Linked DNA regions of Drosophila melanogaster. Changing the gene in region 1 together with any one later gene gives a genetic interaction. Each region holds a gene or a part of one and is shown in the gene's direction. Other genes may lie near its edges.

Region 1 (4,958 bases):
GTCACTCGCAGAGCTCTGGTGAGGTAGGTGAGATAGGGGACTGTCGAACCCTCTATATCCATATCCACTTCTAATGGTAGCTCAATTTTCTCACACTCTACGTGATGGAGAAGAGCGAACACGTAGTTCAGGATGGGTAAGGCCACTTCATTGGAGTCGTGGAAGGGAAAGTGCTCGATCTGTGGGTTGTTGATGTACTTGCGCAGGTGCATAAGGTCCACGAAGCTGCGGGGCAGGTGCGCGGGATATAGTTTGTCCAGAAACCATTGTGGGAAGAGTAGCGTTTTGTCTTCCACTTCCAGCTCGAGGCCTTCATCCGCCTCCTCTTCTTCTTCATCACCCGAATCAACGTCTTGATTTTCTTCCTGCTGCTCCTCATCTTGGTTATCAGCTTCCTCCTGATCCTCGCCTTCTTCGACATCTGAAAATTTTTCATCGGAGCTAGACGAATGTTCATCGTCGCTGCATTCCTCTTCACTGACGGGTTCTATATAAGGAAAAGCATTCTCGTAGTGCTCATCGAAGTAATCGTAGGCGTGGCACAACTCGTTGGAGTAACCAGAGATGGCTGCATTCACTTGGGAGACCAGGGAATCACGCTGGTTCTGCAAGAATATTATTTTTAGCATAAATCGGAAAAAGATATCTCAAGCAACGAACCTTTTTCAGTCTCGACAGCACTTTAGCCAGAGCAGATTCCGCCGTTTCCTCCTTCAGCCATGTGAGGATGACCTGTATGCGCTTCTGCTGGAGCTTTAGTTTGCGACTTCGTCCTGCTTTGCCCATTCCCGCAGCAAAAAAGTTCTTGAAGGCACTGCGGGCAATATAGTCATTGCCCAGGAGGGCGGCAAAAAGGGGTAGCTTCTCGGGACTCAGAGTTCCTCGTCCGCAGAGATGGGACACCCGGTAGATGCAGCAGTCGAGGTACTTGTAGGTCTTGGAACTGCCTTTTGTACTGGCTGTCAGCCCTGTGGTTTGAATGCCAGTCACAATCTTGTTGGCCCTGGTGCGCTTCTTCACATTCTTGGCCTCGCAGTGACGTAGATCTCGACTGTCCTTCTGGTTGCTGCTGTTCTTGTCCTTCACCTGCTTGGTGAGAACCTGGGGTACATGGAATCGCTTAGTATATGCTGGAATCCAAATAACTTATGCCTTACCTTAACAGTCAGCGTGATCAGCGGGATGTACTTGACGTTGTGGATGTAGAAATCCGAGTCGTAGGAGAGCACTGGGCAGTTAAGTTTCCTGGCCAGAGCAGCCAACTCGTCGTCCGCCTCAAAGACGCACCTCATCACCGGGACTCCGCAGTCGCGCACAGCGTCCACGAAAACCTCCTTGAGGTGCAGCGGGAACAGCGTGATGGATGCATTGGGGTTTATCTTCTTGATCACGGAAATCTTGTTGCGCAGCCGGGTGCTAACGGTCCTCAGCTTGCGCTCCTCGTACCCGCCGTCCATGAGCACATAGGGCCGAATGTTGCACTCGGCCAGAACCTGGAAGAACTGCACCACGGCGCGGTAGAAGTCGTCGTAGTCGCCGCCGAAGGCGGAGTAGCTCCCGGTGACATCCTTGTACAGATTGCAGCTCAAGTTGTCGCCATCGATGACCAGCGCCGTGGAGTGCAGCTCGTGCGGCTTAAGGTAGATCTCCGCGCGCTGCGCTATGTAACTGGTCAGGCCGCGGACTCCCATTTTCCCGGCGCTTGCCTATTTTCCCAATTTTCTATTTACCTATTTTGCACAAACTTTAAAAGCGTGCTAATAGTGATGTCAGTTTGCAGTGCGATACTATCGATGTACATATCGATTCTTTAGCGTGGCCGTTCGCTGCCGTTTGGTATATATGAGCGATTAGTTTGGTATCTAGGGTATTTCCCGCAGCCGGATGGTATATTCCGGGGATGGCGCCGCGGTCACACTCTGTCCCGACAATTCCAACCCGACGCTTGTCTGCTCTCCACCCGCGCATCAAACGTCGAAAAATCGTAACGTCGCGAGTGCTACGCGGTGGCCAGGAGAAAAATTCGCCAGCAATAGCAACACTTGTACCGAAAATCTAAAGGAAACTGGGAAATGTACTAGCACAAACACAGCGAGTGCAGTGGAAACCGAAATCGCCATTGAATCGAAGAGCGCGTGCATATATACGGGTTCCGTTGGTTCCGTTCCGTTTCTTGTCGCTTTTCTTGCACACACTTTACCACTTTACCTTTGCGTCTCTCGTTTCGTGCGTGCGTGTGTGTGTGCGCGGAGTGTGGTGTGCGTGCGTGTGTGTTGTTTTTGTGTGTTCGTTTAACTAAAGCACAGGTAGAAGGAAAAGCAGCGGAAAAAAGAAAACCATGGGCGAAATATGCATATGAAATTAAGTAAATACAAGGCGACAGCAGCAGAAAACATCCAGTAGCAACGAGAAACAACAACAACAATAACACACGTTAATAACTCAGCTTTGTGCGTCTTTCGTCTGCGCTTCACATAGTATTATTTTTCTCTTGGATTTTCCACACAAAAACACCATGAGTGAGCGAGCGAGAGCGACGATCGTGATCACCGTGTCGTGAATGAATTTTTGTCAGTGTGTGCGAGGCGTGCTCTACGCACACACACACGTACGTAAACAACACAACCACACACGGCCCATCATCGATCACCAATCACCTGTGTGTGTGTGTGCGGCATTTAATAAATAATTGTGTGCAAATAAATGTTCCAAAAGGAAATTGTTAAGCCAAACCAGCAAAAAACGTAAATCAACCGTGCGATAATTCGTCCTAGAGTTGAAAAAAAAAGACGGTTCAAAAGCAAGTGCGTGTGTGCAGAGTTCTTCTGGTGTCTTGGGAGCTTCGTTTTACGGATACGAAACATATATAACTTCCCTCTTTGCCGAAAAAGGTGAGTTCAAAATCAGGGAAAAATCCCTTTCCCATTGGCCAAGGCCGTTCCGGGAAATCTGCGAGTGGTCTTGGCCCACGTTTCCTGTCTTCCGCACATTTTCACACGTCCTGCAATTGCAATTTTTTCCGATTTCCCAACTCTGCACCTCCTGTATGTTCGGCGATTCCCACGCCTCTTTTTTTCGGGGCAGGTATTCGCAGGTAGCGGAAAGAGGAAAAACCCTCGGGAAAGCCGATAAACTAGAGAAAACCTCTGTTGGTGGGCCGAAAAAACCAGAAAAAATAGAAGAATTGAAATGTTTTCCCTGGCTGCTGAAACAGAGAAAATCGGGCGAAATTAGGCACCCGCTGATTCCAGAAAATTGCTCGTATAATAGAAACATCTCACTGGGGGAGAAATAAATTATCGTTATTATCATCTGCAGTTGCAATTTGGCACAATTTCGATATGACTGTGCTCCCATTTGCCCGGCGATTATGTAATTTTCGCCGCTGTGCTCGAGAATCAGGTTCATTTTCCATATGAAAAAGGGGGCTTTGCTGCAGACATTGCATATATGCCGACGATCTGGCGACCACCGACAGTTGCCAGCAATTTCCGGCGCTTTTTGGCAACTGGAAATCGAGCACAAAAGTTCATCCCAGGGCTTAGAGAGCCGCAAAAGGCGTAGCCATCCATATTCACCCCATCCCAAACGCATTTCCCAATGTGGTTTATAGTTTTCCTACAGCTGTTGCGACTGCGATTTTAACGATTTTTACTGGTAATCCGGGGAGGAAGTGAAGTTCATAGCGGTTCGACCAGTTGATACCTCTTAATAAACTGTTTGTAGGGCATTTCTGAAAAGGAAATATTCCAAAGCGAGATTTGGTTAGTCTCAATCCTTAGAACAGCATTGCTCACTTCCTTACACAAGTGCATACTACCCTCGCATACCCTGTAATCAGTGGGCACCATAAAAAGAGTTTGAATTTCAAATAAAATCCACTCTCCGGCACACACACAAGTCCACTGGGGAGCAGCTGCTGTGTGTCTCTTTGTGCTTGGTCTCAAATGACACTTGCCAGCGCTGCTGCTGCATATAATTCCGAGTTCTGGGGAATTTCCTAGTAGGAAGTGCAGGGGCCACAGCGAAAACACCAGCAAGAGTCGCACTTGATGATTGTCTTGCCACGGCTATTGCCGTCCCACTCTGGAAACGTAAATAGAGAGGCCCGATAAAGAGCGGTCTCGAACTTCCCCCAGTTGTGTTGCCTCTAACCCAACTGAAACTGAGTGGAATCGAGGTTTTCTGGCGGCATAAAATTTGATAGCAATTAAGATATTTGTTAGAACTGTTTCTAATGTCACATGTGCTGCGTGTAGGAGTCTCATCCTGCACTATCTTGTTTTTCGCACTTGCCCCGTTCCCATTTCCCGGCTGGTACTCCAGTTACTTGCCGCAATTGACCAATTAAACAATTGTCTTTGATTAAATGTGCAAATTTGTCTAATGTTCTGCACTGCGCGTATGTGCAAAGCGGATGTGCCCGCTTAAAGCTGCGCTTAAATTGCCCGCGTAATTTGTCACTGATCTCACTTTCTCAATTGGCGATCTCTGATTTCTGAGATTCCTGATCTCTGCCTGGCCAATTAGGCGTCATTATGCGGCAGGCAAGAAGGCACCGTTAGATGGAGCCATTGCAACAGTGGCCAGAATAATAACAGCGACTAGGAAATAATGGCTAATGGCCTATACCTTTGCCCATCTAATGCTTCTTGACCTACAAGCCTCCACAGGCCTCTCGCGTTTCCTGCCCGCTTTCATTTACTGTTAATTATTGTTTAGAAAAGCGCGGGGGCGGGGGCCAATAATAATAAGAAGAAGAAAAAGCAGCAGCATTGGCCAATAAAAGCTTGCAAACAATTTCGAATTTCCAAATGGTTTGAAATGCAGCCCAGCTGGCAACAGAGGAAAAGAGGCAGCCAAATCAACCGAAAGGCAACACGGGGCCATAACAACAATCTTGCTCGCACATTCATAATAGGCGAAACAGAGGCGGCCAAAAAAGTAGGACTGTTTCG
Region 2 (4,578 bases), on another chromosome or scaffold:
ATTTGTGTTGTCGTGGGTGTTTGAGTGGTTGGGCGCTTCGGTGATGAGCATAATCCGCATAGTTGTTGCTCCTGCCCCTTTATTATGTAAAAATAGTGACTTTGGCTGGATTTGGCTATGCAAAGTACTTGCTAAGGCAATCACCTACACTTGCGGCAACTGCTAATTGAGAAATCCACACGGCGCTGACATGGAATCATTCGAATCCATTGAAATTGCCAAATTAGGCGTGGGGGTAACCCCTTGAACTTATCGGCTCGGCTTAACGGGTTTAACAAAATTAAATACACACATATGCGCATGTATACATATGTTCATGCTTGTAGAGTGGCTCCTATAGTCTGTTTTGCGAATCAGAATCCAAGTAGAATAGTTTTTTAAGTGTTGTCTCAAAGATGTATGCATACATGGATGTATGTATGTATGTGTGCTTATGACTCTGTAGAAGGTCTATAAACTATGTATTTTGAGGTTTTGAAATGCGAGCTCGAATCAACCCCCTTCCCCGTTTCCAGCTCGATTCATCCTCTTCAACAAGTTCATCTCATCATTTACAGTTTTAGCATGATCCGAAAAATAACAACAACAACAACGACAACAACAAAAGCAAGAAAGTGGGCACAAATAATCGTAACAACAACAATTGTGAGGTCAGTTTGGCACTAGTCAGCGTGTGTGATTATGTGCGCACTTATGTCTGCGTGCATGTACATACATACATATGTTTGTGTGCGAGCACAAAGAGACAATGCAAATTTGCACTCAAACAAAGAGAGAGCGAGTGCAAGTGCGAGTGCGAGAGAAAGGGAAGAGTTCATGAGCGTGCGTTGTGAATGGCTGGAGGGGTCGAGTGCTGTGAGTGGGGGGATCTTTGTTTATCATTTTTGTGTACTATTATTAAGGCGCCGCTGACGGTCGATGACGACATACACACACACACACACACACACACGCAAATGCAAACATAGAGTTTGCACGTGTTTGTGCAAAGTGTTTAGCCGCAAGAAGTAAAGTTCTCGTTTTGATTTTGTTTATTCAAAATTGAAATTCCCAGAAACAAAAGCTCCCATGACGATGATGATTCACATGCCAGACGCTGCGGGGAAAAACATCAGGAACTTTATCAGCTAATTGTGTCACAAGAGGACAAATAAGCCAGAAACATTTGCCTGCGCGCGTTTCTTGGTATAGTGCCATCAACTCGATCTCGATCTCAGTAGTTCATCTTTTATAATGCCCACACACACATACATATGTACATATATGAGCATATGTACATATGTACATAAGTCATATGTACATATATGAGCATATGTATGTACATAAGTCATATGTACGTACATACGTTTTTGATTATCTTAAAAAATTGTAATCACACGTACTCCTGCCATTTGACTTAGACCCACTTTCGATATTGACAAATTTTCAATGGTTTTACATTTTTTCCCCACCTCTATTCATAATTTCTGTGTCTCTTGTGTTGCTTAAATGGGCCGTTTTGATTTCTTTCGCGTCTCATTCCAATTCCATCCCTCTTCCATTCCCATTGCCACACGCTTGGCGCTCTTTTGCATTTTCTTAAAGTCGCCCAGATAAGTTCGGAATTACGTAATTAAGCGGCAGCAGCAACAACAAAAACAACATAACCAACAAGCTAACAATTAAGTATTTATTGCTTTCAATTTGCTGCCCGATAACAAAAGAAGCCAAAAAACAAAAAGGAAAAACGAGAGACTGGAAAAAACAAGCAGAACAAAGTAAATAAAAACCGAAACGGACACACATACACACACACACACACCGCTACCTGCGTCGACAGCGGCAGCGAAATCAGCGCCTCGCTTCAATTTTATTCCGTTTGAATTTGAAGATGTTTTTAGTGCACTGCCATTAAGTCCTTAGCACGCGCTTTTATTTCGCTTCGTTTCAATGTGCAGGTAGGAATAACAAAAAGCGGAGGATGGGAGTGACAACGAAATCGAAACTTTGCAACAAAATTGCATTTGAATGAGCAGCGGGGGCGCGCGGTAATTTCAATTATCAATAACATATTTAAATTCCCCATTCTCCTCCCCTTCTATTATCCTCTGTCCCTCCTTCCCCCCTCCACGGACTCCTACACCTTTTTTAGTCGCTCTCTCAACTCTTGATTGCTCTCTCTCTCCCTCTCTCTGTGCGATGGGAACGTTCTCTTTGCCTTTGCATCGGCCACTTCACTTCAGCGGAGAGCACAGTGGGATAAATTGGCAGTTGATGACCCATTGTTGCATTATTGTGTTTTAACCATAAAGCCAACAAATGCTTGGCGTTCAAGCCCTTCATGGAGTAACGCATATCAACGGATTGTCGGGGATTATCCAACGTCTTAAAGTCAAAATCTTACAAATCGCAGTATTTACCTGGCAAACGTGTTAATCCACAGGTAAGTTGGGCTGAAACCACCCTAAGTCAATATCAAGGGTTTTTTTTTAGATCTTTCTAAAGTTTAATTGTACGCATGTCTTAGCTTCGAATTCTTGTCATCCGAAATGCTTTGTTGTCCATTTGTTCTTGTTCTGGCCCACTGTGCCGCGTGTGAATGAACGTATAAAAAGTGAGAGCGTCGCCTGCCCGACTCATAAACGAAAATCAATGACTCCCAATGCGCGTACCCTTCCCTCACCCCCCTGCGGAGCCCAACGCTTTTTGGGAGTGATAAATGCCGCCTCAGCGTCGTCAGCAGATTTCAGCCTGCGCATGTTTGTCGGCCCGCAAACACTCGCAAACACACACACACGCTCTTCCCGTGATGTTTGTTGATTTGGCTGCATTCAAGAAACGACAGTGCTTGGGGCAGTGGGCATTGTTAGACTTTTAGTCGTTTCAACTCTACTTTCAGTGGGTATCATCCGCAACCAAAAGGAGGAAGGATGAACATTGCATGTGTGTACATACATATGTACATACGCAGTACGTAGTACGGATTACGTATTACGTATGGGCAGTTGCCATTTATGCAAGGTGGCTGTTCCTGCACTCGAACACATGTTTGTGTGGTCATTTGTAATTTGGTCAGGCGAGCAACAAGAAAAAAGGATAATGAAAGGATCAAATGTGCGTAGAACGTACATATAAAGGGTGTGATATCACAATTATTTTCGATGACTTCGTTTAATGTTGGAAAAGTAGACGGGAATGCATTACATCGAAGTGAACTATTTAACTTTGGATAGAACTGTTGTTTTTTGTAGGCATTTGCATTTCTCGCCGCTTCTTCTGCTCCTCCTCCTGCTCTTCGCTTTGGCGTTGGCGAGAGAGCGCCTCGTTGGTCTCTTTGTGTGTTTATGCTTTCAACATTGATACGTGCCACTTTTCGGATGCAGACTTGCGAGAAGCAGCGGGGGGGGGGGGGGGGGAAGAGGAAGTGGCAGAAGCTGGTAGACGGGGGCAACGTGTGGGGACAGCTGGGTGAGTTTGTAATTAATTGCGGCCTTGCCTCCCCTTCACCGCCAAACATCCTCATCCCCGGCAGCCAGGCTCCCTCGCTCGCTCAGGCAAACTCTCTCGCTGAGAAACCAGCCGCCAACAGTTTGTTTTCTTTTCTCGCCGCTCTCATCGTCACTTCCGACTCGTCGGGGGCAGAGGGTGGGCCAGCGGCATACTCTTTGTCTAGTCGCCAATCTCCCCGCACTCCACTTCATTCATGAAGCACAAAGTGTACAGCAGACACTCGCTAAGTGACTAGTGTTTCGTAATTCATTAAGATTTTTGTTGGTTTTCTTCTCTCATTTTTCCCGCACCAATTCTGCACTATTCACAAGTAAAAATGGCACCAACTCTCTTATTTGTGGGCACTAAAACGACCATGAATCGTCGTTCGGTGTTCACTGTACCTGCTGCCAGTAGCCCAAAAACGGACAGTGGCTGAGGCGTCAGCGTCGGCAGAGCAAAGAAAGCGCGCTAGTTACAGTTACAGTTACGTTACAGAGGGCCAAAGACAATGCTAGGCTTGGTTAACGGTAATTACAGCGTTTGTGGGGGGGGGGGGTGTGGTGTAGTGCTCGGGCGTAGCTAGGCAGAGGGATATTTGTTAATACATATGTAGCACTCGAATTCTTTAGTTGGTTTATAATATCATCAAGAATGAGGAAAAAACTAGCTAATTTGTTGATAAATGTTAAGATGCCCCTCTGTTTTAAGTCCTCACTAAGCCCATGAAAAGCACCGTTAATTGAGTGGGATGATCCCCATTGAAAGCGCAGTACTACAGCTAATTCCAATACCACTTTCAATATCCAATTGCTCGCCTTTCAATCGTCGAAACGGTGAACGAAGAGGAGAAAAGATAAGGGTATGTACCGAAATGTGGAAATACCCGAAAGGGCCATTGGAATATGGGATATTGAACCCTAATCGTGAAGACCTCGTGTTTTCTTTGACTCATCAGCCGATTTTGCGATAATGCGCTCTTTTTGGTATCCGTTGGATGATACATAAATTAAATACATAAATGATAACTTATAGAAACACCATACACAACTGTTTAGAAATTTGTGTCAATCACTGTGACTCACTCATGATTGGTGGCTCTATCCACTT
Region 3 (4,853 bases), on another chromosome or scaffold:
TAGGCTTTCCCATTCGACGACTTCATGCTTATAAATCTCCTTACGAGCTCATTTGGCTTCTTTTTATGGACAAGCTTCTCCTGGCAGGCTTGTATGATTAGCAACTTCGGTTTGTAGTACAGGGTGTCGTAGCTGCAGAGCAAGTCCTCGATATCCGTGATCTTCATGGCGATGCTGTTGGATGCGTAGACGGCCTCCTCGAAGCCGTGGCTCAGGATGAAGACCACTAGGGAATCGCGCACGAGCGATCTATCGCACGCACTGCGAATGCGCTCTATGATGCCCATGTGATCCACGTTGTCGTACGCCTCCACATTGTATCCCATCGAGGAAAACACCTCGATTAGTCGTTCTTTATCCACATCCGTGCCATCCCGTCTACGCAGTGGGTCGGGCGACAGAAATTTCTGTGGAGAAGGGCAATGTTGTACTTCTTTTTGTTACTCAATATTGCAGAGATGAAACCATATTATCCCTGCTAACATTCCGGTGAAACTTCTGCTGGTTGATAATCAAGGCGATTCCTGCGTTCTCCCGGGTCAACTTAAGAGCATCTATTTGTGTGGAACAGTACGACTGCTGGTTATCCGATTCAATCTCTTGCTTGACTGCCATCGCAGCAGTGCCAGCCGCATCTGGCTCCGGAGCGTTACTAATGATGGTGTCTTTGAGCAAATTTGCTTGCGCCTGCAGACCGTTGGACTTCAAATGGCCGACCAGCAGCTGAACATCGCTGCCTGCGGCATTTATGTCCCCTAACTTTATGCTCCTTCTGGTCAGCCAGTCCAGCAAAAAGATCTCCAGGTACGCGGGATCGTAGAAGCGAAGTGGATCTCCTGCCTGCTGGCTCTCCACCTTTTCGCGAACATCTAGGAGCAAGCGGCCACTCTGCACCAACGACAACTCCTCACACATCCTGTAGAGGCTCTTCAACAGAGGATGGACATGCAGCGTGATCCCAGCGATATGCGGCAAGTAGTGCATTCGCAGCTCCTGCCAGCAGAAACCCAGTCTCCGGAGCACCTTGCGGGCCCCAATAATGCACAGGGCCTCCACGAGATGTCTTCTCCAGGTTTCTGGCCGGGACTTGGCGAACTTTATGAGTAGATCACTTTGCGGGAAGTCTGATCGTGTCATGGCCAAAAGTTTCTGCAGAATGTAGGTGGCATCCGAGTGGTCGTCGCCATAAAGCAGAAAGCAGAGGCCCACCTAGAAGAAAACGAAGGTTCTACTGTTTAATTAACACTTTGGTCTAGCGGATGTGTAAAACATTTGAGTCATATTCGAAAAGTCCTCCCAGGGAGGTGCCATACCTTTTGGGCAAAGTTCATGTCACGTTCCACGTAGATCAGATCGTTCTGATCGATGGTGTCTAGATGAATCAACAGGTTTGATCCGGCCATGGCGATCGGGAATATACAAAAATGTTTCACTTTAGGAAATGGCCGATAAATTGCACTCGCTGACATCCGATAGCCGTGGCCTGAAGAGCTTCCACCGATCGATATCGATAAATGGATATGTTTTCTGCAATAGCGAAAGATCGGGGTGCTACCTATTAATTATACTTAAGAAACAGATGATGTAGTTTTTTGATATAGAAGTTTAACAACCGGTTCAACAATCGGTTAATATTTAAAAATGTCGCAGCCAGCGAGCCTTTAGCTTTAAAAGTAAGCTTGCGTTCACGGTTTTTGGGGAAATACCAAATATACTAGGTAAAAACATCGATTAACTAATATCATCCAACACGACGATATGTTCTTTGCGAAAAATATCGATGTACTGGTATTTTTATGTTTCCACACCTCTAGTTCGTTTAAGTCGATCTGTTGAACTGTTAACAACACAACTCCTGAATATTATGTTTTGGACGAAAAGTTTTATTAATTTAATGTTTTTGTATATTGTATTCTGTCCATGAGCGTAACAGAGACAGACAGAGAGAAAGGGACAGATACTGAGATACGGGGCCCTCAGGCAGAGAAAGAGGGCGAAAGCAAGCTACAAGCGGGTGCGAGCGAGAGCGCGCGCTTGCCTCACGCACATATATATAAATCTGTACATACATATAGTATCAGAAGAAAAAACTAAAGCCGCTATTCGATTTACGAAAACTGGCGAAAAATTCGACGATTTGTCTCGTACCTATCTATGTACCTCACAACCACTTCGTCATCAAATACGTATAAGTCAGATGTATGTCAAACATATATATACATATGCATGTATATACACATCTATGTGAGGCCACTGCTATATCCCATACATGTATGCCTCTATATATATGTATATATTTATCCACCTACTGTACCACTTCCACATTATGTAAGCAGCGACGCAAACAAAACACTAAAGCAGAAAATCCGAAAAGCAAAATGCGAAATGCAAAACAACGAACCAACAAAATCCCATCTATAAACCGAAAACCGAACAGCAATGTTATAACAAATACCGAAAAGTTGTTAATGTTCCACAAAAAAGCATAAAGCAGTCACGCTAAGAGAGTAAGATCGAACAAATGAAATGTTTGTATGGCATAAGTAGTTCCCAGATTTTTGTATGTACTTCAATGCATATGCATGTGTGCGTATGCATGTATGTATGTATGTTTCTCGGGGCCATGTCTCCCCACGCCCACGTACGTGGGTGCTAGAAAGGGACAGATGGTGCAAATTTTTTAAATTGCATACACTTGATTTTGGAACGCCAGCCAAACAAAAAGATAAATTGCGTGCTTTTCTTTTGCTGTTCGTATGTACGTACATATGCAAGTGGAAACTGCGCAGCAGGGAAGCCACACGCATGAACGCCTTCCATTTACAGAGCATTCAAACAAATCGTACCGAAAACCAAACAAAAACTTTCACCTCAAGTGTAACAATTATATTCAAATTCGCTTTGAAGTCGCTGTAAAATATATGTATGTATGTATAAACAAAGACAAAAACATTTTGCCTCGCAGTCGACACACACACGCGCACTCGCACTGCACGCCTCGGCTGTGTGTGTGTATGCCCTGCTTAGATCATGAGTGTGCGAGCGAGTCGACATGCTTGGCAATCGCGAGTCAGAACTAAACACGCGCTCTATATGCACGTGTGTGAGACGCATTGGATTTTGTTATTTTCATCAATCGCAATGATTCCGTCCATCAGCTACATCCAAATATATACACGCATCCGCGCCATATGTACAATGCTACGAGCATTTACATACACATGTACATATGCGCGTGTGGCTCATAACGGTTCACTCCGCTTACGCACAATAATAAAGGCAAACGCCTACGACTTCCCCATTGTTCCTAGGCTCAATGGAAAGCCACTCCGTTGCTTTCGACTTTCGCTTTTCGGATTCTGGAATTTGTTTCGCTGTCCAAAACTACGTATAACTGAATCTTTATGTTAAGCCAATTGTAAAAAGTGTATTTTCCTTTCTCGTTCTCTCCACACAACAAATGTGCTAGCGCAACTTTGTTGATCACTTTTATTTTATACTGGAAGCATGTCCAGGACCCATACCCTTTAATTCATCAAACTGATTTGCTTATTATTTTGTTGCTGCACTTTGGAACTAGCTAAGTGCCAGGCTAAACCTAAGCGATCCGATCCCACTTAAACCAACCAACAAAGAGCAATCCAACCATTGTCAGCGAAAAGTGCTCAAACTTTCCGAGTGCTGAGATAAGGAAGGGTGCCCAAAACATTCATCGCAGCCATGCTGCCCACGCTACAAAGTGACTCTGACTGAATGCATCAGGATCGTATGATCCGGGTGGTCTATCTTAAGTCAATAGTTTCTGTCGCTAGTACTTGGACGTGCCTTCTGAATCCGTAGTCATTTGTGATACCAGCCATTTTATATTGTATTTACCTCAAAAACATTAATGTAGCATTTATTCAAGCAACGCTTGATTTTAGTGTTAACCAATTCCTTTCATTTGTGTTCAAAATTTTGACCGCCAATGGGGTGATTCAAATAATCCCCGAATGATTTTGGAAAAAAAGAATAAGGGGCATTAAACTACATTTATTAATTCGTTTTTATTCACTTAGAAGCGTATTATGGTACATTCCACCTTTTTAGTTAATACTAGCAGTTGCTTTATTTTAAGATACCATTTTATATTGTAATTGGACGTTAAGACAAATTATAAGACGTCCTTATATATGATTAGATTGGGAATTTGACCTTAAAACATATTTATGCATCCATATATGGTATTCAAAATCCGATCCCTTATCAACAGCTTTTCCAAATACCAAACACTTAAGAGTGCAGCAACAGAAGAGGGAGGCCACTTTTTTTAAGGGCACCAATTATTCCAATCTCATCCTGTGAGAGATTAGCTGCCAAATCGATAATGTCTGTCGCTTTAGCGGATGAACCCTTAATTGACTTGGAGGAGGATTTAGAGGACGGCGAGATCGACGACGATGAGGAGGACGAGCAGCAATCTTCAAAAATCCAAGTCCAAAAGAAGACTTTCGTAGGGGACGACGATGTGCAGTTTGTGGGTGTCGAGGCTAAGAACCAAAATGACGACGAAGATGTCGTTTACGTGGGACCATCGACAGATGCCGTTTGCCTCCAAAACAGCAACAGCACCAAGTCAAAAAAGCCTCGCCCATTAGAAGGTGAAAGCTCATTCAGTTGTTTCATTGATTCTTCTTGTTTAATCTGGATGTATTCCCTAGATGACCATGCTAGCAGCATTGAGTTGGCGATTGCCAATGCCCTCAAGAAGAAGGGCATAGAGCCCCCAATGCCCCGCATGCGTTCGTCTAACCAGGATACGAGCGATCAGTCTTTGGAGGGATCCGGGGAGGGACTGGCTACCGCCAATCCCC

The links. Genes that interact genetically often act in the same process or in processes that back each other up.
Region 2: of S (region 1) and Raf, changing one enhances a phenotype caused by changing the other (phenotypic enhancement), as found in Drosophila melanogaster (2 studies listed by BioGRID).
Region 3: of S (region 1) and su(sable), changing one suppresses a phenotype caused by changing the other (phenotypic suppression), as found in Drosophila melanogaster (2 studies listed by BioGRID).

Annotation. Positions count from the first base shown.
Region 1 is NT_033779.5:1,074,768-1,079,725, reverse strand, and holds the start of S (star), read left to right. Parts: upstream 1-1,910; 5' UTR 1,911-2,891; intron 2,892-4,958. Other genes in the region: ast (asteroid), read right to left, coding at 1-605, 661-1,101, 1,158-1,691.
Region 2 is NC_004354.4:2,293,932-2,298,509, forward strand, and holds the start of Raf (Raf oncogene), read left to right. Parts: upstream 1-1,534; 5' UTR 1,535-2,027; intron 2,028-2,222; 5' UTR 2,223-2,422; intron 2,423-4,578.
Region 3 is NC_004354.4:634,081-638,933, forward strand, and holds the start of su(sable) (suppressor of sable), read left to right. Parts: upstream 1-1,809; 5' UTR 1,810-2,199; intron 2,200-2,361; exon of another isoform or gene 2,362-2,507; intron 2,508-4,252; 5' UTR 4,253-4,366; coding exon 4,367-4,640; intron 4,641-4,700; coding exon 4,701-4,853. Other genes in the region: Dredd (death related ced-3/Nedd2-like caspase), read right to left, coding at 45-407, 466-1,209, 1,314-1,403. UniProt on the Drosophila melanogaster protein: RNA-binding protein that suppresses transcription of some RNAs. Together with Wdr82, part of a transcription termination checkpoint that promotes transcription termination of RNAs and their subsequent degradation by the nuclear exosome.